2 linked regions of the Nothobranchius furzeri genome follow. Each later gene encodes a partner of the first gene's protein in a complex. Links are inferred from orthologs where the notes say so. Each region holds a gene or a part of one and is shown on either strand. Other genes may lie near its edges.

The links.
Region 2: the proteins of pex5 (region 1) and pex14 are in contact, whole or in part, in an NMR structure (PDB 4BXU), measured with the Homo sapiens proteins. The link is inferred for Nothobranchius furzeri from reciprocal best matches to the Homo sapiens genes PEX5 and PEX14. Residues at the interface, in NP_001124497.1 of Homo sapiens: Glu59, Leu62, Val63, Glu65, Phe66, Leu67, Gln70; in NP_004556.1 of Homo sapiens: Thr31, Phe35, Asn38, Arg40, Val41, Ser44, Pro45, Thr48, Arg49, Phe52, Lys55, Lys56.

What each region holds. Positions count from the first base shown.
Region 1 is NC_091745.1:74,164,932-74,169,304, reverse strand, and holds the start of pex5 (peroxisomal biogenesis factor 5), read right to left. Parts: upstream 3,012-4,373; 5' UTR 2,807-3,011; intron 1,292-2,806; 5' UTR 1,250-1,291; coding exon 1,136-1,249; intron 1,050-1,135; coding exon 1,011-1,049; intron 897-1,010; coding exon 779-896; intron 669-778; coding exon 522-668; intron 413-521; coding exon 328-412; intron 1-327.
Region 2 is NC_091755.1:29,721,785-29,726,084, reverse strand, and holds the start of pex14 (peroxisomal membrane protein PEX14), read left to right. Parts: upstream 1-1,190; 5' UTR 1,191-1,237; coding exon 1,238-1,285; intron 1,286-3,439; coding exon 3,440-3,487; intron 3,488-4,300. Other genes in the region: dffa (DNA fragmentation factor subunit alpha), read right to left, coding at 484-577. UniProt on the Homo sapiens protein: Component of the PEX13-PEX14 docking complex, a translocon channel that specifically mediates the import of peroxisomal cargo proteins bound to PEX5 receptor.

The sequences.
Region 1 (4,373 bases):
AGTTGCCAGTGAAGAGAAGTCCAAGGCCGATAATCATTACATGAGCATTCGTTCTGATCAAATGCTTCAGTGAGAGCTTTTCTCACAATAAGCTCAGTATAATTACAAAAAAAGTAGAAGAGAGAAAAAGTTAAGGAGAAATTAAAATCTATCCCGACACATCCGCTTAACACGACGTCAACAACATTCTCAAGGTTTAGTTCTGCATTCAGATCGGCCATCTTTTGTTTTGTCCCGTGCTCCTCTCTGCTTTTACTCCCCCACAAGTGTCTTTCCTGCGCTCAGGCTTTACCGACACTCATAAAGCGATTCAAGCTCTGCTCTCACCATTCAGTCTCCTTGTCTCCAAGGTCCCCCAGCCACAGTTTCTCCTCAGACTGCTCCAGATACTCTTCTGCCCAGCGTCCAGGATCTGCAGCAGGAGAAGGAAAAACAGTGAGCAAAAAAAGACAGATTTGTCACGGATCTCATTATAAAACAGAGAGAACGAGTGCACGGAGTGAAACACAGACTCAAATTACCTGCAGCCTCAGCGATAAATTCTTTGGTCCAATCAGCATCTGCCGCCTCGCCGAGAGCATTCAGCCCCTGTGTGGCAGCAGAGTCGGGACCCGAGAGGAACTCGGCCGCCCAGTCACCCGAGAGGGCCAGTGCTGCTACATCTGGAGCTAAGACCAGGAAATGCTTCTTAAAACTGTTTTTGCATTATTAACACACGGGAACTTCTTAAAACTGGGACATAAAGCAGATAAGATAAAAGATTATACACATGAAATACCTCTCTGTGGAGCTTGTCTGTAGCTCTGCTGATCAATTTGCTGCATTTCTTCCAACAACTGACCCATGTCAAACGTGTGTGGGGGTCGCGGAGGCGCCTGAAGGAATTCATTTACCAACTAAAACATAAAAACACAAAAAAAGGCTAAAAGTGGCTATTTGAGAGATTACATCCAGAAATCAGAAACGTGGTAAGAATAATATTCTAATGCCTGACGAAAAACATCACCGACCTCTTCCTCTGTTGCAATTTCAATGGGTGTGGGGGGAATCTGAAAAAAGTTCAAATAAATAAATAAATGATGCAGCTAAACAAAAAAAAATTAAAATAAAATAAAAAAAAAGAAACACAACTCACTGTGGGTGTCAAGCGGTGCCGCCATGCTCCTTCTTCTTTGGTCATGTGACTGGTCAACTTCATGAGGGGATTGGCCCCCCCACATTCCGCCTCCACCAACTCCCGCATCGCCATGGCAACACAAGGATGAGGCAAAGCCAACCACACCACCTAGGACTACGAACAGAAGGAAATCTTCTACTGCTGCGTTTGTTTTAAACCTTCTCAATATAACAGTAACACCCCCATTGCTGTTAGTGCAGCACAGCTGGTTAATAATAACAGGAGATCTAACACCGTTACAAATGCTTGGTGACGCTTTCGTCCTCTTATCTGCTTAAGCAGATTTCTTTCAAATATTTTAAACAAGCTTGAACTAAATCATTGGCCAGTGTGAATCAAAAACATATTTTCCACAGCAGCTGGCTAGGTTGTCTGGACTGCAGATGCTTCTGTACCTACGCATAGTAAATCCCCAAGTGGTACCTTAACAGACACGTTCTGAACAAAGCACAATGAAAAGGAGGTTTATTTTTACTGCAGATTTGTTTTTAAACGTCCGAAGGACAACTCAAATAATTTTTGCTTTGATTTTACAGTGAATGGGTCAGAAAAGAGAAACCTGGAAGCTGCACAAGTGGCTTCACGTTGCATCGACGAGTTTAAACTCCCATCTGTCATTTTTTACATCACTTCCTGGCTTTTTCGAACCGTTACTAATGAGAAAGCAATGGCCTAGGAGGCACACAAATATCATCTGCTCCGTGCTTCCAGTAAGTTCGGCTCATTTTAGCAGCAACATTGTCGATGAGAGGAAAGGGCAACAATATTTGCAAAATAAAAATAACAGATTACAGTTATTTTATAGGAATTATTTGGTATAAGTAAATCATTTGTGTCACTCACCTGATCTGCCAAAATAAGAGTAACAGCACAATTTAAACATATATACAAACAATAGAACTACTGCTGATCACTGATCTCCATGCCCAAGAATGAACAGCTGACAAAAGGGTACATTTAGCCTACTCAAAATCTCCAACTCTCCCTGGAGGGATGTGAAACAATTTCCATAATGAAATGCGTGGAACAGATTTTTAATTCCACTCAGCTCTTATTTTGTATCTAAACCACCAAGTACAGCATTACACAACCCCGTCCATGCAGGTGGACGGAGTCGCTGCTCTCATGCAGAATGTGGACGTGAGTTTTCCTACTGAATCACACAGCTGCTGCATTATGATTAGGGTCAAAGTAAGAGGCTTAGACAAAGATATTAATACAGACATTATCACTGATAGGCCACTGTGACACATGTTTGTACACAACACATCTACTCAAGAGACATGCTGTAGTTTTAATACAGATGGCCCACTTTTGTGGAAAAAAACTGAAATCATAAAAAAGATGTTTTTGAATTGTGCACACCTGTCAGTCAGCGTTCAGATATCTAATGGCCCACGCGCTAACTAGCTAAAGACCCAGCAACAACATTAGCTTTGTTATCTCTTGTAGCCTCGTGTGGGCTCAATAAACAGCACATTAAAAAGAAGATGAAAACAATTAGCAACAATTTAGCTTTTAAAATAGATGTGCTAAGTGTTAGTTGGCAAGCTAGCAACCCAGGGCCAGTGCACAGGTCTCCACCCGGAGGAGGAGTGTGTTTACGGGGTAGCGTGATGTTCATCTCACCGCCGACAGCTCCTCCTGCTGTAGCCGAACAGTCGCTCCGCGCCGCTCTGTTTTCCGTCCTCGCCGGATCCTTTCTGGGCTAAAGCTGGGTCAGAACAAATCCTCCAGCACCGCCTCACAGCCTCCGCTGTGTGTTCGTAGTAGCGCCTCTTTTCTATTTACCTTCCTCCTCCATGACCCACAAAACCTTTCACCGAGCTGCAAGAGGCTCGTAATTCTACGTACTCTACGTAGTTGTATTCTTCAAATATTTACGAACGTGGAAGTCGGGCTTCTAAAGGCAAAAGAGCACGTACGTTTACGTAAAAATATGTGCAAGAGACTAAAGTCCAACAAAAGCAAGAGATGTTCCCTTCTGTGGAGTCTTTTATTTTAGGAAAACCTATCTTGTGTTTTTAGTTTAACTAATAATTTACTGACTAATTAGTCAGCCAATATAAAGAAAAGCCTCACAGGTTGTCTTTGCAGCTTGGGTGGAGTCAGAAATATCCAGGTGGAAAAAAATAAAGATCCTCAGTGCAGCTGACCAAAGAACCCAAGTCTTTCAACATTTGGGGAAAAGGATAGTTTGGGAAAGTCTCAAAGTATAAAGGTCAAACCTGCAAACCATCATTCAGGTATTTACGGTTTTCAAGTCCTCAGGCTTTTGAGCACGAAGACTCTTCATGTTACAGTGATCAGATCAGCCAAGTGTTCTTGGGGGCCCCTTGGAAAACCATTACCACTGCACAAAAGCCATGACTACATCCAGGAATGTAAAATTGCTGTGCAAAGAGGAAGCAATAAATCAACACTGTGTAGAAACAATGATGAGGTCTTGGGACACTAACTCATCTCAGATGGACAAAAAAACAGTGGATATGTTCTGTGGTCAGATGAGTTCACATTTTTGGTTGTTCTGGACAAATAAAAGAGATACTGAGCTCTGTATACAAAAAAGAACAACCGTCAAAGTTCTCATTAGGTAATAATAATTTTGCTCATTCATACTTTTGTAAACAAGAAACCTGCAGTTCAACAGCCTGATTTAACAAATTCTAGCTCCTAAATCTAACAGAAGCATGCACTAAACTGGAAAATACGCTCATATTATTAAAAAATGCAAAATATCTGTGGATTTTTGAATGAAAACACCATTATTATTATTATTAAAGGTCCAATATGTAAGAATGACAAATGGTGCAGTGGCTACCACCATTGCCTTGCAGCTACAAGGTCTTGGGTTCACATCCTGGCCTCAAATAGTTTGCGTGTTCTTCCTGTGCACACATGGGTTCTCTTGGTTAATTGGTCTGTCTAAATTGTTCTTAGGTGTGAGTAATAATAATAATAATAATACATTTTATTTAAAAGCACCTTTCAGGACACCCAAGGTCACTTTACACAAAACACGTAATAAAATACAATAAAACAATAATAAAACCCAAAGAAGAAAAAACAGAGAGAAACATTTCAATAAAATCAGAGGTTGTAGGCAGATTTAAACATGTGTGTTTTGAGTTTTGTTTTGAAAAGGGTAAAACTGTCAACGTTCCTGATGTCTGGGGGAAGTGAGTTCCAGAGTCGA
Region 2 (4,300 bases), on another chromosome or scaffold:
CTTTTATATAAAGATCCGACAAAAACCGGATGAACAATCATTTAGGTCAAAAGTCAAGTCACATCTTACATTTCATTTTTCTTTTTGAGTGGTTTGATATTTAAATATTTCATACATACAGCTTTAGCAGGTGTCGGCAAATATTTAATGATATGATAGAAAGAGGCTGCGTGTTTGCAGTGAAGGTGACTGTAATCCCAGGAATGTGCAAGCTCAGAAACGTGTGCAGCTGCAGGTTTGAACATGATGGAATCTGAACTGTTTCTGTACATAATCCGTTCATGATTATCAGAGGCATGCGGTAAAACCCACCAAGGTCTCACTTTTGGTTTACAGCAGTCGTGTTTCTTTCGTTTTCACTGTTTTGAGTTTGTAGTAGCAAGCTGAGCTCAGATGGGCAAAATGGGTCACCGAAACTAAACGAAAACATACAAAATCGGAGTTTTCTGTCAAAGAATATAAAGAAAAGCCATGTCAACACACCTTTTTTCTTTAGCTCATCCAACGAAGGAACAGCAACGCCATATGATGTCTGTCGTGTGAAATTGCACACTTTGCACGCTTTCCCATCTGTCATTATATTAATTTAACTACACTATCTTCAATTACTTTGAGAAGCCACGGTGCTAAAGCACTTCACTTTTCACTTCTTCTTGAACCGCCAGTGAAGCGCTATGCCTGCTGGGATATGTAGTTTTAATACCACAAGCGGATAAACGATAGATGCGCGTTCTGGTTTTTATTATTATTTAAGAGGGGGAACTACTGGCCACGTGTACAATTAAAATCAAATAAACCTGAAAAAGAATAATAAAAAAATTAATTAATGTGAAATGGCTGATGCTAAACTGTCTGCAAAAGCACGCATAGGGTATGCGTGTCTCAGATTTAGAAAATCAACTATTTGTGACTGACAATTGGGGATGCAGTTTCATTTCAAGAGCCCAAAATCATGGCCCCAAAAGTGGGAATCATAACAACCATTTTTATTTATTTATTTGTTTGTTTATGTATTTAGTTTGCACGGTAAATGTAATTGTATGTTCAATTTGTGTAAGACAGTCTATTTTTAAAAGTGCAGCACTAAAATAAAAAATCAAATGTTACCCAGCCAGCTGCTCCTTAACCGATTACTTTTTGTTGGTTTTGTTTACACAGAAAGTTGTCTCTGTGATCAATGATCAGTGTTTCAGGAAAAGCAATCGAACACGAGTCAGTCCTCCTGTACTGTAAATAAATGGACAGAAAGATGGCGTCCACCGAGCAACCTGATCCACCAACACAGGTCCTTCTGTACCTCTAAGACTTATTCGTGGCCAGATAAAGCTACTGACTGTGTGGCTGTATTTTTGTAGTCTGTTGCTTTTAAATGTCTACATTTCATGAATTTATTCAAGAATTGCTCAGCTAATAGATTGTAGCGTGCTTGCTAGTTAGCATGCTAACTATGTTAGGTTTAAAAAGTTGCATCTCTCGCACGTTTTTATCAAGAAGCGGACACCAAGGGGTATAGGGTTTGACTACACGTTTTTACAAACATTGTGGCGTGTTTAATTTGCAGATTAGTTATTTATCTTGATCAAATGTTGCGTAGTGTTTCCACTTGTCTCCTGTCATCTTGTCATGGCATGTTGACATGTGTAAAGGTCACTCTTTCGGGATGCATCTGTTTTTTGCAAACCCACTCTTGACTTGAATGGCCGGACAAACGACCATTACAATGTTTGGTATAGATGGAATCTTGCAGCTCATCTAATCAGACCACAATTCATTTGTCGTTACAGTTACAGGACTATTTGAGAAAGCAAATGTTACCCATGGCATATAAAACGGAGCATTGTGTTCTGTCTAAACTAGGTTAATAAGTAGAAAGTGACAGATGTCTTGGTGTGCGTTGGTCTCAGATTTCAAACTTATACGTCATATACAGTTAATGATGCAACATGAAATTATGTTGTTTATGCAGTTTTTGTATTGTTTACATTAAAATAATACATGTTTAATTTGCTCTGATTATTTTAATTAATTTGTAACCTAAAAACACCTAAAACATTCTTTCCAAACCGAAGGTTAATAGCTGTTTGGAGGGGTGCACCGGTCTATCGGCCCCGATCTCGGGTTTTCTTTTTCAAGATTGGTGATCGGCTAAAAACTGCAATCGGTGCACCCCTAGTTAATCCATCCGTCCATTTTTGTTACCCACTTATCCACACAGGGTCGTGGGGGACTGGTGCCCCTAGTTAATGTTAAAGCAAATAATTGCTATAGAATTTTTTTTAAAGTGTGTCAAAGCAGGTACAAAAGTTTTGTTTTCAAAGTTAGAAAAATGAAAGTCTAAAGGAACAAATATGATTTTGAAATTCAACAGCAATGCTAAATATGTTCATTTATATTTGAGAACATGACTTCATGTCCAGTTAAAACTGGTATTGTTTCACAAGTATTCATATTGATTTTGTCAATAAAAGGAAAATGAAGCATTGACATAATCTGCTTTTAGTTAAGACAAAATCAGTATTGGCAAAAAATCGGTATCGGTAAGTCAGGTTTTTTCAAGATTGGTAATCGGCCAAAAACTGCAATCGGTGCACCCCTAATTGTTTGGAAAGGACGTCACACATTATCTGTTCTGAAGTTTCTCATATGTCATCCCAAACTAGTCGATAAACATCTTGACATGAGATGTGCTGTAGTAATGTTTTATTTATTTTTTATTATGTCACCATCTGGGTAAGTTTATGTACTTAGCTCTGTTTTTATTTTAGTTATATTTTTTATGAAACTCATACTTTTTTAAAATGTTGTCTCACCAGTGGCTATCTTGCTTAAAAAATGCAACAAACATTTGATTTAGCCAGATGTGCTGTCCCTGATATCTGGTTGACTTGTTATATTTGCATTGTGAGCTTGGTTGCACACTGTTGTACACAAAGCTGTCTTTTAATGTAAATGTTACACTTGAAGTAAATTCCAGACCTATTAATAGCGCTTTCTAAGCAACTGAATGATATACTGCTTGAAACAATCATGTAGATTTTCCAGTATCATTAAAACTTCTGAAAAACAAATTTAGATGAAAAATGTTTCCATAACACCTTTTCCACTTTTGATGTAGCTGTCTTCAAAAAGACTTAAAATGATTAAAAATTGAATAGGATTTGTATCATATGCAAGATGAATCACATCTCATGTTTATGGGTTAATTCAATCAGAAAACAACTTAAAGAATTATTTTTACTGTAAATCCCAGTTTCCAAAACTTTTTTTAACTTTTTGCATTCAGCGTGATTTTTTTTTTGTGTGCAGTTACAGATTTTTCTAATTCTTCTGCTAAAGTGTTAGAATTTGTTGTAAGGGTAACTTGTAAACCAACACTACCTTTATCCTCCAACAGATGGCTCTATCACACTACTGATTTCTTATTATTTCATCTTTGCAGGCTGGCCTTCTGCCTTTAGAAGGAACCGCTCAACCCAGAGAGGCACTGGTAGGTGTCAGAATTTACTTCACATTTTAATTTAAAATGGGATGGATTTAAAAAGAAAACAGCAAATTAAATCAATGCAGTTTGAGTTTAGAATAAGCAGAATCAAACAACCTTCTCATTTAATGACATTTTTTGTGTTGACACTCTGATCCTTATAAAGGTTCAGATTTTGATGATTGATTAATGCAATTTTTGGTAATCTGAAAGTTTCTGTGGTCATATTTAATTTCACTGATTTGCTTGAATGTTTACTCGTAAAATCAGTGAAGCTTTACTCTTAAGTTATTTTGTTAACTGTGTGTTTTTATTTGGATAATTTGATTGTGTAACAATTCCTCCCAGGAGAACTATAAAAAGCTTCCAATTAACACTTTAGTATCACATTAATATCCCTGTGTTGTGATTGGAGCAGATCATGAACAACTTTGACTGAAAATTTTTGTTTTCTGATTAAATGGGTTATTTTTTCCCCTCAAATGTTGGTTAGTTTAATGACTTTGTTTGCAGATAGGACAGAATGGTTCTGAACAAATATCCTTAATAGATTGTTTCTTCTTAGAAAGAAGTCAAGTAGTACCGTAAACACTACGATGATGTCATCTAACAGCAATCGGCATCAGTTGCTGTTTGTACTACTTGTTTAAAAGGAAGTGTTTAGTTGTTGCTAAATGTGATGGAAACCATCCCAGGTACGTTCACTGTCCTTGTATGGGCGCAGCACCCAGGTTGCTTTGTTCAGCCGGCATGTCTCAATGTCATTCGCCACCATTCACTCTTCATCTTCCCCCCATCATCCCTTCATGCCAAGGCTAA